Ovis aries: one gene and its partners. The protein of the gene in region 1 interacts with the protein of each later gene in a pairwise test. Links are inferred from orthologs where the notes say so. Each region holds a gene or a part of one and is shown in the gene's direction. Other genes may lie near its edges. The genes, in order: SUFU, RCN3, HDX and GLIS3.

The links.
Region 2: the proteins of SUFU (region 1) and RCN3 interact in binary tests that used the Homo sapiens proteins (3 or more experiments, as listed by UniProt). The two-hybrid records come from large-scale screens. The link is inferred for Ovis aries from reciprocal best matches to the Homo sapiens genes SUFU and RCN3.
Region 3: the proteins of SUFU (region 1) and HDX interact in binary tests that used the Homo sapiens proteins (3 or more experiments, as listed by UniProt). The link is inferred for Ovis aries from reciprocal best matches to the Homo sapiens genes SUFU and HDX.
Region 4: the proteins of SUFU (region 1) and GLIS3 interact in binary tests that used the Homo sapiens proteins (3 or more experiments, as listed by UniProt). The link is inferred for Ovis aries from reciprocal best matches to the Homo sapiens genes SUFU and GLIS3.

Annotation. Positions count from the first base shown.
Region 1 is NC_056075.1:22,878,982-22,883,151, forward strand, and holds the start of SUFU (suppressor of fused homolog), read left to right. Parts: upstream 1-1,360; 5' UTR 1,361-1,548; coding exon 1,549-1,730; intron 1,731-4,170. UniProt on the Homo sapiens protein: Negative regulator in the hedgehog/smoothened signaling pathway. Down-regulates GLI1-mediated transactivation of target genes. Down-regulates GLI2-mediated transactivation of target genes. Part of a corepressor complex that acts on DNA-bound GLI1.
Region 2 is NC_056067.1:55,701,014-55,705,275, forward strand, and holds the start of RCN3 (reticulocalbin-3), read left to right. Parts: upstream 1-1,430; 5' UTR 1,431-1,496; intron 1,497-1,910; 5' UTR 1,911-1,916; coding exon 1,917-2,158; intron 2,159-3,878; coding exon 3,879-4,081; intron 4,082-4,262. Other genes in the region: FCGRT (IgG receptor FcRn large subunit p51 precursor), read left to right, coding at 61-177, 485-564. UniProt on the Homo sapiens protein: Probable molecular chaperone assisting protein biosynthesis and transport in the endoplasmic reticulum.
Region 3 is NC_056080.1:75,382,362-75,385,924, reverse strand, and holds part of HDX (highly divergent homeobox), read left to right. Parts: intron 1-3,180; coding exon 3,181-3,306; 3' UTR 3,307-3,563.
Region 4 is NC_056055.1:72,610,487-72,614,584, reverse strand, and holds the start of GLIS3 (zinc finger protein GLIS3), read left to right. Parts: upstream 1-1,253; 5' UTR 1,254-1,349; coding exon 1,350-1,737; intron 1,738-4,098. UniProt on the Homo sapiens protein: Acts both as a repressor and an activator of transcription. Binds to the consensus sequence 5'-GACCACCCAC-3'.

The DNA of each region.
Region 1 (4,170 bases):
CCATTAAGTCAGTGATGCCTCCAAACATCTCATCCTTTGTCGTCCCCTTCTCCTCCCACCTTCAATCTTTCCCAGCATCAGGGTCTTTCCCAATGAGTCAGTTCTTCCCATCAGGTGGCCAAAGTACTGGAAATAATCAACAAAATATTTTTGGTTGATTTTCTCATGTTTTTCCTGGAAAGGTGTAAACCTGGCAACATACTAGTATTGGTCTGAAGACTGACATTTGGAACTACTGGTACAGATGATCTTTTGGTCATTAAAACATCCTTCATCTAATAGCTTCATAACTGTTGTCTCTCTCTGTCTCTCTTTAGTCGCTAAGTCATGTCTGACTCTTTGTGATCCCATGGATTTGTAGCCTGCTAGGATCCTCTGTCCATGGGGTTCTCCAGGCAAGAATACTCGAGTGGGTTGCCATTTTCTTCGCCATAGGATCTTCCCGACCCAGGGATCGAACCCAGGTCTCCTGCACTGCAGGCAGATTTTTACCGACTGAGCTGCGAGGGAAGCCCAGGAACTGCTCTAGTATATCTTTAATTTTCATGGGGAGCTAGAAATCCTAGGGACGGGGGAACCTGGTGGGCTGCCGTCTATGGGGTCGCACAGAGTCGGACACGACTGAAGCAACTTAGCAGCAGTGGCAGCAGCAGAAATGACACTGATGAATGAGAAAATGGAATTGAGAGATTATGTGTTACTGCTTTCTAAGGAGCCCAGTGCATTTTTCTCTAATAAATTATTTCCTCTTTTCCTTCATGTTGTGGGGATCTTTAGTTAATAGCCAGTAGTCAGGACTTTCCGCCAGTAGTCAGGACTTTCCGCCAGTAGTCAGGATTCTCTTCTATCCTTTTCTCTTGAAATTTCAAGATTATTGAGTGGAAGACATTACTATAAGTAAAGTTATTGCAGGCAGGAAAATAATTTCCAACCCGGTGCCTTAGAAACTAAAAAATCCCGTTTTTAATGCTACATGGACGAAGGAAGCAATCCATTGTAGCAATCCATTGTTACATTTATGTTTAAATCCTTCTGAAATAAATAAATTAAATAAATCCTTCTGAGCATCGTATTAGCATAACAGTGACATGCTTTTTGTCGGCGCACTTCCCAAAGCTTTCTTGGGTCCCTAGCACCTCAGAGGATGTCCCAATATCTCTATTTAATCCTGGGCTCCTCCTAACGCTAGGGGGAAGCGAAGAGCCTTGGAACACCCCCACAACTCTGGGAGAGAGAGGGAGGCGGGACCTATTGTCAAGTCACGCCTTCCCTACCTGTGACTGGCACAGACATTGGCCAATGGAACCGGAATAGGGCGCGCCGGCACCCCGCCCCCTGAGCGCCCCGCGGCCCCCGAGGCACCCTCTGGCCGTCTCCACCGCGGCGACGGCCTGGGCGGACAGTGCGCCTTGCGCAGGCGCGGAGCCTAGACCTCGCTGCAGCCCCCATCGCCTCCGGGAGTCGCACCCAAGGAGTTCGCCTGCTGGCGCGTCAGTGCTCTCCCCCTCGTCTGCCCTCCCCGGTCCCCCCAGCACCCTACGCGCCCCGATGGCGGAGTTGCGGCCTAGCGGCGCCCCCGGCCCCACCGCGCCCCCGGCCCCTGGCCCTACTGCCCCTCCGGCCTTCGCGTCGCTCTTCCCCCCAGGACTGCACGCCATCTACGGAGAGTGCCGCCGCCTGTACCCAGACCAGCCGAACCCGCTCCAGGTTACCGCTATCGTCAAGTACTGGTACGTCTTGGGCCGCGCGGAGACCGACAGGGGCGGGCTGAGAAGGGTTAAAGCGCCAGGAGCGAAGTAATTTGCCAGGGAATTGGAGGGGAAAGGAGAGTGGTTAAAGCACTTGGAAGAGGGCTTCCTGCTGTGAGGGAAGAAGTTAAGGCTCAAGTTAGGAATGGGGACAAAGGGGTTAACGAAGCCTGCGGGTAGCGAAGGGTTAGCAAGGGAGGGGAGGATGAAGGGTTAACTGGCATTAGAAGAATGGAGTGAATTGGGGGTGTTGGTAGAAGCTGAGGGGGCGACGGTCGGAGAGAGGGAACTGTAAACGTGGTGAAAGGAGGGGGCGCCTGGAGGGGGTCTAAGTGGGCGCGTGGAAGCCGAAGGGGGGCGGCTGAAGTGAGATGGGGGAGGCGAGGCGGGGCCTGAGGAGCATCTGAGAAGGCTTTGGAGCCGCGCGGCCGGAGGAGCTCCGAGCTCGGAGGGCACGGGACTGCACAGGGTAGGGGCGGGTGTGGGTCTGTGGGTTAGGATGTGAGCGTTGAGCTTGTGAGGGGATGAGGGGGAGGTCTCATTTTGATACCTTCCGGATGAGCTCAGACATTCATATCAGTGCAGTGCTTTTGCGTTTGAAGTTTGATGGAGCAGCTTCTCCCGATCAACTTTCTGCTTACTCTGCACAGTTCTCTTACTCCATGCAGAGCTTCCTCTGGCTCCGCGGCTGCTTTGGTCTAGGTCACTGGCTAGAACAGGGGCAGGCTGGGTCAGGGAGATCCATGGTTTGGCTCAGGATTGAAGGAGGCTGCTGTTAACGACGAAGATCCGGAACTTGGACACGGGAGGATCCTTCAGTGAGATATTAAGAGTAACTTTGTGGGCTGGAGCGCCCAGATGTAGGCAACAGTTCCTCAGGGGAGCTGAGAGTAATCCCTAAGTAACTCTGTTAAGATCAGACCTATGTACACATGGACTGCCCCTGGGGAAGGAATGGTCTTTTCTCGTTTCCCATTCTTTTTGTAACCTGTTTCTTCGTGCCACCTCTGTTATGGGGACTCTTCTTCATGGTCTTGCTGAACTAAAAGTTGACTAAGAAACTAGTTGAATCTGTACAAAACCACTTTCATGCAGGCACTGTATTAGATGAACTCCTTCATTGGCTCCTAAAAGACTGTTCAAGGCAGGCACTTGGGGTGTGACCAAAGGGGAGGTACCCCCGAAGGGGGAATGAGTAGAGTGGATGTCTTTACTGGTTACCTTCCTTTAGGGCTGAGTCTTTTCCCTCCCTGGCAACCACTTACTTCTTCTGGAGATTGCAGGAGCTGGGCTGCCTAGGGCGGAGGCCAGCTCCCTATGTCTGTGGGAGGCTGTGGAGAGGCTGACAGTGTGAAGGGCCTGGGGAGCAACCACCTGCTCCGTGGGGAGAGCGGCAGGAGCAGCCTGCCTCTGTCTGGTAGCCAGAAGGAGGTGTGGCCTGCAGCACAGTTTTCTCTGGCAGGCACGGTGTTCTTTGGTTGAGAGGAGTTTTTGAAGAGGTCTTCTGAGTAAAAAGCAGCTCTTGATAACTTAATCACTCATTTTAAACTTTTTATTTATTTTCATCTACAAATTATGGCAATTTTATTTCATTTTTATCATTTTTTTTACCATTTACTTCTTTTTCTTGACTTATTGCTATCTGGTATAATTTCCTTTCAGTACATAAACTTTTTATTTTAAATTGGTATATAGCCGATTAACAATGTTTGTGATAGTGTCAGGTGAATGGTGAAGGGACTCAGCCTTACATACACATATAGCCATTCTCCTCCGAATTCCTCTCCTCTCCAGACTGCCACATAACATTGAGCAGAGTTCCATGTGCTATACAGTAGGTCTTTGTTGGTTTGTACCACTATATTTAAATATGTACAGTGATGGACTCTATTGGCATACTTCGTGAGAAAAAGGGGACCTGCCTCTGGCATGCTGTTTGTTCAGGCCTTGTTTGAGTATAAGGAGAAATCCCCTCTCAGACTTGGGCCACTGTTATTATGTCACCCAAGTGGACATGAAGGATAGAGTTGTAAAAGGTGTTGAACACGGGCTCCCCTGGCGGTCCAGGGGTTAAGACTCTGTGCTTCCACTGCAAGGGGTATGGGTTCGATTCCTGGTTGGGGGAGTTCCACAAACCATGAGGTGTGGCAAAAAAGAAAAAGATATTGAACACATGCAAAGGACTAAGATTAGTTTGGGAATCTGCTTTTTCCTCCATCTCCCTGTGAACCTTTTTTCCCATGTTGCTGCAAGTTTGTTAACCAAGTCAGGACTTATCTTAAAAGATGGGCCAGCATCTAATGATGAATAAAAACGATTGTATAGCACTTTGTGAAATTAGAAATGCTGCCTGGATACAGAAATAAATGAGAAGAAACAGCCCAGGGACTGGTTCTTTCTAAAATTCAGAAGGGGTTGCATA
Region 2 (4,262 bases), on another chromosome or scaffold:
GTCCTGACTCAGATGTGGCGGAGGGTCCCTTAAATATCTCACAACATTGTCTGACTGCAGAATCACCAGCCAGAACCTCGATGCCAGTGGTGGGAATCGTCATCGGCTTTTTCCTGCTCCTGACAGTGGCTGCGGGCGGAGCTCTCCTGTGGAGAAGGATGAGGAAGGGGCTGCCAGGTGTGGGACAGGAAGAGGGAGGTGCCTCAGAGAGAGGGGTAGAGACCCCCTCCAAAATCGGGAGACTCATTCCTGCAGGGACAGAGGGGGACAGAGACCCAGAGAGAGATGGAGAGAAAGAAAACTGGAGGGGAGAAAGAGACTCAGGGGGATAGAAATCCATAGCGTAGGACAGAGACTGAAAAAGACACAGACACACACAAACAACACACACCACACACACACATACACATACGTGGGGAGGGGCAGTCAGAGACCTGAAGGATTTCAAAGATTCTAATCATCTCCCCTGTCCCTCTTTTCTCAGCTTCTTGGATCTCTTTCCGTGGGGAGGATGTAGGGGCCCTCCTGCCCACTCCCGGCCTGTCCAAGGATGGTGAATCTTAGGATAAAAATGCGTTCCCAGCAACTGCCGATCATCCCCCATCCTGGCTGTTACCAGCTAATGTCCTCAGGTCCTTTTCATGCTGTGAGACCTCCGGGAATCCTGGTATTTTTGAGCCTCCGGAAGGAGCCCAATGTCCTCCCTCTGGATTTCTCCTCCTGTGATCTGCCTCAGTTCCCCCTCCTGATATATATGGTTCTTTTCCAGCTCCACATATAACATGGGTTTAGGCCCGAATCGTTGTGTTCTCATCGTTTCAACTTTTTTAGGGAATTGTGAGGGGGGATAAATGGTGTAAGCCTTGGGCTTCAAATCTCTCCTGAGGCTAACTTGTTGCCATGGTGGAATTTGCCAACTTTATATACCAAGTCATGTATTTTTAATGAATAAATTTCACAAATATTTACTGGATGTTTGTGCCAGGCATTTTGAGGAATTCTTGGCTGGAGTCTGATCTGACTTCTTGGTGTAGCGGAAGAGATGTTCCCTCCTTGAGGGAAAGGAAAGCCTCCTCTGGCTCCTAGGTTCCCTTTCCTAAAACCTGCGGACAAAGGGAAAGAGATAAAAATACATCTCCCGTGAGGCTTTGAAGCTAGAGCAACTGGAGGTGGTCGGGCAGGGCGCCCCGACGCCTGCCGGGAGTTGTAGTTCCCCCGGCCGTGTCACTCCGGATTTGCCCACTTCGCCTTCACTGGGAAGGGGCGGGGCCGAGCCTCGCGGGGCCGCGCTTTCCTTTGTGGACGTGGCGAGGGGCGCCTTTGGCCCGCCCCGCTTCTTTGGCCCCGCCCCATGAGGCCCTCCAGAGCGCTCATTGGCTGGGGGCGGGGCCTCTGCGCTTCAGGAGGCGGGGCCTGACTGGAGAGCCGCCAAATTGGGCATCTTTTTGGAGAACGCAGGGTGGAACGTGGAGAGCGAAGTGAAGCTATCTGACCCGGTAAAGGGAGGCGGGGGCGGGTGGCTTGTCCAGGGAGGACGGTTTGGGTCCGCTTGGGTGGAGGATTGGGGACCAGGCTGAAAGCGATGCCCGGGAACCTGCAAGATTTCTCTCTGGACACTACCCTGCCCTGAACTACGCGTGGGAAGTGCGCCACGTCTCCCGCTTGAATCCTACCCTCTTGGGGTACTTCTCTGGGACTTCCTCGGAGGATTCGGTCCCTACAGCTGGTTAACCTCTGAGAATCCCGCCTTCCTTCCCCCCTTCCTGTCCCTTCTTGAGGCCCAAACTTTGCAACCAGCTACCAGCTCTCTGTCCTGTCCTGGGCTCCCCCCTGCCCGCGTCCCCATCCCTCCCATCCCCTCTCTGTCCTTTTCTCTGTGACTCTGACTCCTAGCCTCCGCCACTCCTCAGGGACTGATGATGTGGCCACCCTCACTTCTGCTGCTGCTGTTGCTGCTCAGGCGTGGAGCCCAGGGGAAGCCGTCTCCTGACGCCGGCCCTCATGGCCAGGGGAGGGTGCACCACGCGGCCCCCCTGAGCGAAGCCCCTCATGATGACGCTCACGGGAACTTCCAATATGATCATGAGGCTTTTCTGGGACGAGAAGTGGCCAAGGAATTCGACCAACTCACCCCAGAGGAAAGTCAAGCTCGTCTGGGGTAGGAGAGATGGAGGGGAAGGAGGATTGTAATTTTCAAGAGGAGGTTAGGGGAGCCCTTAGTGAGAAGGTGATATTTGAGCCACTTGGGTATATGGGGGAATAGCATTCCAGGAAGAAGGAACTGTAAGTGCAAAGGCCCTGAGGCAGGAGGGGGAATTATGTGCCTCGTGTATTTGAAAAAGGGAGAGGTCTATGTGACTGGAACCCAGTGAGCAGAGGGAGAAAGTAGGAGGTAGTAGCAGAGAGAACAGAGGGATCAGGTTGTGCAGGGGACCCAGTGAGATGAGAGCTATGCAATGGCTCTGAAGGAGGAGGTGAGCCGACTTCAGTTTTAACAGGATCCCTCTGGTTGCCATGCAGGGAACAGACTATAGGGAGCAAGAAGTAGAGAGCACGTTGAGGAAGGGACTGCAGTCTTCCAGGTGGGAGATAAGAGACCAGGGTATCCCAACTCAGGGTGGAGATGTCCGTGGTGGTCAGCTATGCTGACTAGAATGTTGTGCATGGATGGAGTTGGATGAAGTAGGCTAACGCATTTGTGGTCGCGCTTACTACAATGCCCAGCACCATGCAAAGGGCTTACCAGGCTTAACTCATTTAATCCCAACATCCACAGTGTGAGGTATGTTCTATTACTTATTCCCATTTTACAGAGGGGGAAACTAAGGCACAGAGAGGTTATATGACTTGCCGACCGTCACACGGCCAGCAAGAAGAGGCAGCAGGATTTGAACCTTAATGTTTGGCTCTAGAGTCCAAACTCTTAACCACAGCTCGAACCTCAGGGTAGCCGGAGCAGAGCAGAGACAACATAACGCTGGAGGGACGGGTCAGCGATCTAGGCAGGGCCATCTCAAATTGGATTCTGGGAACTGGGTCGAGGGGCTTTGGGATGGAGACCGGAAGAAGGGCTCCGTTAGCGGTCGGGCGAGGACACAGACCAATGACGGGACGTTACCAGGGATGGAACCTGGGAACCGACAGGCGTGGCCTGAGAGAAGGGGCATGAGGTGGTGGCCTAAAGGGGCTTGACCTGAGACATGGAGGTGTGCAGGATCAGGCTGGAGCTCGGAGAGGAGTGGGTGAAGGCCGAGCCCGCCGTGTTGGGGGTGACAGTCATAGGGCAAAGCCTGATAACGGCTAGGAAAAACCAGGCGCAAGGGGAGAGTCGCAGCATAACTCGGGACTGCAGGGATATTGGCCTGAGATAGACGCGCGCGGCCAGGGAGGGGGCGGGGCCAGGGACGGGGAGCCGTCCGGACCTCGTGTTGCAGTGGCAGTCGGAGTTCAGAGTGGATATTGGGACAGGGAATCTGCGGGCGATGGGCGCGGTGTGACTCCCTGCCCTCCGTCCCCTCCCAGCTCTTTCAAGTGAGAGATGGAACACGCGCAGGGTTGAGAGGTGGGGCCAAAGTGGAGGGTTGGACGTGGATTGTCATGGGTCCTTCCCCCAAGCCGTCGAGTTGTAGAGCGGAGCGCCAGCCACAGGCCCGCTGCATCTCGGCATAGAGGTTATCGCCTCTGGGAGCGGAGCCTGGATTGAGAGGGCGGAGCCCTCTGGTGGGAGTGGTCCTGGGATTGACAGACTCCTCCCCCCGGTTTGTCGGCAGGGACAGCATTTTCAGTCCTATATGGGGCTGTGTCTCCAGTGTCTAGCAGAAGGCGGGACCCGGGGTGGGCGGGGTCCGAGACTGACGTGCGCCCGCCCCGGCTCGCAGGCGCATTGTGGACCGCATGGACCGCGCCGGAGACGGGGATGGCTGGGTGTCGCTGGCCGAGCTCCGCTCGTGGATCGCACACACGCAGCAGCGGCACATACGGGACTCAGTGAGCGCGGCCTGGAACACGTACGACACAGACCGCGACGGGCGTGTGGGTTGGGAGGAGCTGCGCAACGCCACCTACGGCCACTATGAGCCGGGTACGCGGCGAGAACCGACCCCTGGTCCCCTCACACACCGTGACCCGGACATTTGTGACACCTTCATCCTGAGACCCTCAAGCCACGTTAACCAGATCCCTAACCTTTGACTTCTGACCCTTGACTAGGGCCCACCCCCAATCCCTGATCTCTGGTTTCTCATTCTGACATCCACTGGGGA
Region 3 (3,563 bases), on another chromosome or scaffold:
ATTTAAGCTATAGTTTACTCATAAGGCTTAATCTAGCATGTAAATTATGTGTCCAGTTTCATGAATTGTGCTCCACCCATGCTGTACACACACAGACATCCCAAGATGGTAGTTAGCAGTCATATTTGTCTGTTTTATTTAAGCATTTTGGTTTATTACGTGAGCTAAGCATATTCCATGGCATATTGAAAATGTATTTGTTTTTTAGGAACCTAAAATACAGATTTTAAATGAATAAGATGATAGTCTTGAACCTGGTCCCCAAAGAACTGTAATTTTTAATTACATTAATATTTAAAACAGGAAAAATAGAATTAGGTTCAATATGGGAGTAATTTGGAGTGTGGTCTTAGTCCCAAAAGTCACGCATGGTTTGTATTTCAGAGTTATGTGGTCAGTTTATTCGCAGTTGTCTATGACTTTTTATATCTAGGAATAGCACACAAGCTGCATTTTATTTTCTTATTCTAACCTGGTTTTATCCTTCCCCCAAAACCACTAAAAAAATAAGAAAAGTACCTATTGTGCATTTTACTTTTGCCCTTTTCTTCTACTTTTCCTCTGAAAAAGGCTGATGAACTAAGATATGGACAAAACATTGGCTGGGGGGGAAAAGAGATAGTTATACAAAAATTGTACTGAAAATCATAGCCTATATAATCAGCATCCAAGTACAAAATACTGATTTTTGTACTTGAGATTGGGTATAATGGATCTCCAAATACAGTCTAAAAATATAGAAGATACCAACACAAAAGTTACCCAAGTCATCTCTTAAATTACTGATCTTTACTCCATGAAATGCTTAAAGGTTTATTTCGGGAAGGACTTGATTTTTATTCTGCCTAATAAAAGAGAATCATTGTGTCATTGGTTTCTCATTTTAAAATCCTGTTTTTCTGTTAATCTTAATTTGGGTAAATTGAGTAAGATGAGTGAACCACAGAATATTTTGCCACCATGAATCAGTCCAGGGTTTGAAAATATACGATAATGTCTGACTGAATATTAGATTATCCAAACCAATAGCCATTTTTAAATAAAAATAATGTTGTCAGCACTGTACTAAGTCATTAGTTATGATCTTTCTTCCCTTGATAATTCACTATGTGATTCTATTCTATTGAGAAATGCAATAATCTCTTGGGAAGAATGGCAGTAGGTTACACTCTGACTGGTAGAGAACCTGGAGTGAAGCAAGTTCATTGTGTTCACTTTAGTCTATGAAAAAGACAGTTCTAGCAACTGACAAAATCTGAAGATTTGTTCAGTGTTGCAATACAAAAAGATATCAAAAAGGAATATTTTTAAATGGACCTCATGCATTAGCAGTGCCTTGTTCTGCCTCAGATATTAAAGTTTTCCTATTTCATACTGCACTGATTTTAGTCAGGCAACTACATTAAATGCAATGACAAAGAAATACATAGTAGTGCTTCTTTGATTTTAAGGTCTCCTCGCTAGAATTTAAATGTTGTTAAGTCTACTCACCTACATGACTCTCCAGTATGCTAAGCTTTGTTCATTGGAACACTTTGCCCTCTTTAGTATGGCTTCTTTGCACTTGCAAAGTGAAATAAATCCAGTGATGTCTTTCTCGTAAACTATGATCAACCACTGTCAGCAAAGGCTTTGTTGTACTATACTGGGTTAGTGGTAAACAACTGACCTAGAAGAAAATGGTTCTGTGCCCTATTACTGCAACCTAGAAACCTTAGGAAGCATGTAGTACCTTTAGGTGACTGCTTTGTAAACAGTACTCTGAGTTTCACCAAGAAGTTCATGAACAATTTAATAGCAAAAAATAAATAAATTTTTGTACAGACAGGAGTTAGCCTTTCCTTTTGCAGCCTGACAGAAAGTTCTAATCTTTCCTCTAAAACAACAACAACAACAACAAAAACTATAGGATTTACAACTGTCACTTCTTTTAATAAAGAGAATAGGAGAGTACTGTCTTATTTCAGCAGTGGATTTCATGTGTTCTCTAACATGCCCTGTCTTTCTGTTCATTATTTGGGTAGAGGCAAACCTGCACTTGATCTTTTTTTTTTTACTATTGCACCCAAAGCTAACACTACAACTAATGTTGTCTAAAAATTGTCGAGATATGTTACATTATTTTTAGTATTGGGAGCAGCAAACCATTCATTTAGTTTGCCATTTCTGATGGTCAAATGGGCATCAACACTACCAGCCAGATAAAACTTGATTAATTATTTTTCTAGTATGAATGCATATTCTGCAACTCCAGATGGAACAATTACACCATGGCAAAACTTAGTTCATGGCTCTTGCCTTATCCTAATTACTCCAGAAGAGAGATGAGCAGTCCTCTAAAAACATCATTACACAGCCAAATTCACTGGTTCAGCAGAGCCTTTATGAATGCTTGGCCATCTGTAGATATGACCATAGCCTAAGGAAAGAAAAAAAAATCACTTGGACTTTTGAAATGCTAAAATTTTATCTAAAATAGAATAGCTGAACTTTTCCCCTAATTGCTTAATTACTTCTCCCACTGAAGTACAAAATAGTCTTGTGAACTGTGTTTTAGTGTGACAGACAGTATAACTGGGCAGGGGTATTTTAATAAGTTACATACAATTTTGAGCTTCCCTGGTGGCTCAGAGGTTAAAGTGTCTGCCTCCAGTGTGGGAGACCCGGGTTTGATCCCTGGGTCGGGAAGATCCCCTGGAGAAGGAAATGGCAATCCACTCCAGTATTCTTGCCTGGAGAATCCCATGGACAGAGAAACCTAGTAGGTTACAGTCCACAGGGTCACAAAGAGTCGGACACGACTGAGTGACTTCACCTCACCTCACATACAATTTTAAAGTCCTTTAGCAATGATCACTGAACAATCAAAACTGATATGAAAACCACTTATCTCAGACACTTCAGAGCATTTGGTTCAGAGTAGTTGCTCATTTCTCTCATCATTCCCTCTTTGTAGGTTACACTCTACATAACCCACACTCTCAAGATCTAGTATTTTATTACTTCCTTAAGAGTATATGAAGAGTTTTTCTCTTAGAAAAGATGCTGTACAAGGTTCTGAGAGAGAAATGCTCCTTTCTTTAAATCTGTAAGAATAAATCAATGTGAAAGGACCACAACTATAAAGCTGGAAAAATATGTTCAAATACTAATTCAAAACAATTGATTTTTCTGACTCAGGCATTGCTGTCAGATTTACCTCCTGAATTAGAAGAGATGGATTTCAATCATGCCTCGCCGGAGCCTGATGATACCTCATTCAGTGTGTCTTCTTTATCAGAGAAAAATGCCTCAGACAGTTTGTGATTGGGGTGGGGGAGGGATATATGATACAGCCTTTTGGCTACCCAACAAGTATGCATTTCAAGATAGTTGTATTGTGCTGCCCCAAAATTCTTCAGTTGGAAAAATATATTGTTGAAGCAATGTATTCTGTGAAGGATGAACGAGATATAATGGCTGTGGTGCAAAATGGTACAGATGGTACAAAAAAAAGTTTGTAAAATTTAAAAGCATTGTTTGAGAGTTTTTTCCCAAACTGATGGAACTCTGGAGGAAAATGT
Region 4 (4,098 bases), on another chromosome or scaffold:
AAAATGATAAAGAAAAAAGAAAACCTCCTCACAAAAAGGTTACCATGGTTGATATCCTGTGCTTGATGATTTATGGGGCATTCTTTTGGGAGGTGAGTTGGAAATATTCATCTAAGACATTGAGTGGACCATAGGAAAAAGGAAGACTCATCCAGTTGAGGATATCTGGCCATTACTACTTTGCACCCAGTCTGTATTTCTTGTTTGTCCAACGGCTTCTTCCCATGACTGTCACGTTTACTTAAAAGAATTCAAATTGCCACTGAGTCTGTCATTTATTTGGAGTAGTGGCACTTAGTCCTTAGTCATGGCAAGACATACATTAGGGAACTATAGATCAAGAGAGGAAAAAGCCTTTCTGAATGATTTGTAACCAGGGAGTAGTGACGCACGGATGGATGATGATGTCCTGTGGCCACGTCACTACTTTTGGTTCTCCCTCTGCTATTTGAGAAAGGGGGTGACCGGACGGCAGATGGAAGCTTCGTGGAACTGCTGTCAGTTTACTGTGCATGGTACATGGTGAGCATACTCACCTTGAGAAGGGTTGTTTCGTCCTTATGCTCTCTGTAAAGCATCTCACACAGCCTTATCCTTTTCTAGGATCTTACTGAAAGGTGAGAGTATTGTGATGTTGATTATATTTTCATCCCCATAAACTCGGGATCAACATAGAACTAAGACTCTAATGCTGCTGTAAATATTTAGATATGTGAAACCTTTATGAAAGTACCATGCCTATTTAAAAAAATCTTTTGTTAATCTAGGGACCATGAAAAAATTGCTTGTTAATGTCCTCACAATCTCATTTAGAGTTTATATCATCTTTCTGTTTGTTTACTGGAAACCTTTGAGCAGTAGTCTTACAGCTCATGATGGTGATGCATTTGGGTTTCCCAGGATGCACCATAACAAATGTGAGCTAGTACAGACAGATCCTCTATGGAGCAAAATAAGTTTCATTTTGCGAGCTGGCACCAGTAGATTGGTTATAGTTGCCAAGAGCACTGTATTGAGAACATTTCAGTGGCAAACAAAACAAAACAATGCAGTGATCCATAATCCATGTCCACCATGAATGCAGGAGGGGAGAGTGCCTGCCAATGAACCATGTATTTGATAACCATGTTCTACATAAAAGACCGTTTTGCTGAGTGCTTCCTGATATGAATGCTACACAGGTTGAAAGCTCATTGTAACTTATTTTCCTTTTTACTTTTAAAAATGCCTGCATTTATTTTTTTAAACAGGCTAATAAACCACACCATGGATAACTTATTGGACTTTGCCTGAAAGGAATCATTAGTGTCATTGGATATTTGACCAACCTGACTACAGGTTTTTTCAGAATGAATGGAAGGTCATGCAGCATGAATCTCCACCGGACATCAGGAACCCCACAGGGGCCTGGGATGGTCAGTGGCCAACACATCCCTCCCATTCAAGCCCATTCGGGGACTCCTGGCCCCTCACCCTGTGGCAGCACAACAAGCTCTGCCATTGGAAGCCTTGCTAACAGCCTCCATCTCAAGATGCCCTCAGGAGGAGGGATGGCTCCTCAGAGCAACATGAATGAGAGCCCCATCCATCTGCCTGCCTTGAGCCCCAGCAGACAAGTGCTCACCAGTGGGAAGCCACGTTTCCAGGTCACCCAGGCTGGAGGCGTGTCAGGGCCACACACGGTAAAGCCAAAGCAGCCGGAGTTTGGAAGCCCCTTTCCTCCAAATTCTGGGAAAGGTAGGATTGTCTTTCTGGGATCTTTTAAAAGTGGACACTGTTGTTTTTCTCTCCCTTGTCTCTTCTCTGCAAGCAAATCCTATGGAAAAATACATGATTCAGTGTCAGGCTCAAAGTCTCATAATGCTATGTAGCTTCCTAGGAAAGGATGTGAATGTGTACATTTGTGTGAGGACGAGGGCACCACAGTGGTAGATGTACTGTTTCGTGGACTGTGAAACAGGGCTGAAGAAGAGATGGAAAGATTGGAAACAAGGAGGTAGCATAAGTGTCATAGAGGAAACCAAGAGCATGTTTAGCAAGACCTTGCCCCCTGGATGCACAGAGCTCCATCTTGTCTTACCAGGAGCTAGATTCTGCAGGCCATGGAGGAGACGGCTGACTGCAGCTGTCATTATGTTAGTTGGATGCTAGAAGAAAGGTGATGTTTGGAAGGAAAAGGATTTAAAGTGGAGAAATTTTAATAGCCAATAAAATGAGGAACAAGTACAAAAAATGATAAAAAGATATTCTTAGAGCAAAACCTATAATCTTTATAACATAGCTGGTGACAATAGAGAAAGCAGCTAGAAAAGTATATTGAAAAGATGTATGTCTATGCTTGTGGAGAACTAGAAAAACTTGCCAATTTGAGAGAGATGAGTGCAGAGAGAATGCTTCCAATGCAGTAGGTTTTGAATTACCATAGCTTTTTTTTTTTTACCATAGATTTTGAATTAAGAATAATTGTCAGAGAATAACAAATGATTTGAATGACTTGCTCTGTCTAGAAACTGATACTGCGTTAACGAGGTTATATTGCTAATGATATGTGTATCGGGGCTAGAAAAAGGAGCATGTATATTATATAAAACATAGCTTTGTTATATAGAAGAGCATGATTATATTTTCCTCTGGGTATTTTTACCATTTCGTTTTAAATGCCTATACTCAGTGTTTATGTATGTGCGTTCTCAGTCATGTCTTACTCTTCCCAACGCTGTGGACTGTAGCCTGCCAGGCTCCTCTGTCCATGGGATTTTCCAAGCAAGAATACTGGAGTGGATTTCCATTTCCTCCTCCACGTGTTTATACCCCCAAATAAAATTACTAGCAGCCTTGTAAGTGGCTGTTTACCTAGTTAGCTCATAACTTAGCCAGTTATGATGAATAATGCTTTATATCAGGCAGGTAACCCAAAAGTTGTTTGTTTTAGTGTCTATGTATTTCTGAGTATGTAGAAGTTGATATAAATGGATAGACTAAAAAACCTAAACATATGTGTAACTTTTTTTCTTTTCTTTTTTACTTATTTATTTTGGTCTAGGTTTGTTTTGAATTGTCTTATTTCTCAGAGCTAACTGATATCCAGTGTAAGTACAGGAAAATTTTCCCTGGGGGCTGCAACCAAAATAGCTCTGTCATTGTTAGGTTGCTGTGTTCCTGACATGGCAAGCTAAGTTTCTTAATGTCAAGCTCATGTGTTTGTATTTACAGGGGCTGAGGCCCAGTACAATTTTTTAGCTCATGCTTGACTAGTGAACTGTAGCTTGCTTTTACATATATTTGTGTTTGAAATCCTGACTTGCAGGAAATAGTGGTGATAATATCAAAAACTTGTACTTATTATATAATAACTTAGCATGTGTTAGGCATTGTGTTAAGTGCTTTCCAGTACATAATCTCAGTTATTCCTCACAACACTCCTGAGTTGTATGCTATTGTTGAATAAATGACAAAGGAATTAAAGTCTAGAAAAAAATAAGTAACTTAAGCCTTGTCAGGCAATAAGAAGTTTGGGAATATTACTTTGATAGTGACTAGGTGTGTTTATAATTATAGTCATAGTTGATAAAAAAATGTTCAGGTACTTAAGGAATAACAAACTCTCAGGGCAGTTCATCATGGAACTCATGTAAAAATTAGCACTGCTTCCTGATTCTCCTCTTTTTGATTTTCTGGGTCCTTGCTTAGCTTCCAAGCTTGCAGTGCCTTTTCTAGATCTGCATGATTAGGGCATGCAGGGACATGGGTAAGGAGTTGAGGACAACTATTATTCTCCCTCACCTTACAGGTTGGATGCCACTAGTGGCCCGGATGTTACCAGGAGTGGCTGATTGTGTCCCCCTCAAATCTTGGTTGACAGTTTCTGAACTAAGCCAATAGCTGAGAATGGCGATCTGGAACTGATTGAACTTCATCGAGTTATTTGTTCTATAAATAATTATTAAGCATATGTTATGGGTGAGCTACTGTTTGGGGGATTTGTTGCTGTTCAGTCGCTAAGTTGTGTCCAACTCTTTGAGACCCCAGGGACTGCAGCATGCCAAGCTCCTCTGTCCTCCACTATCTCCCAGGGTTGGCTCAAATTCATGTCCATTG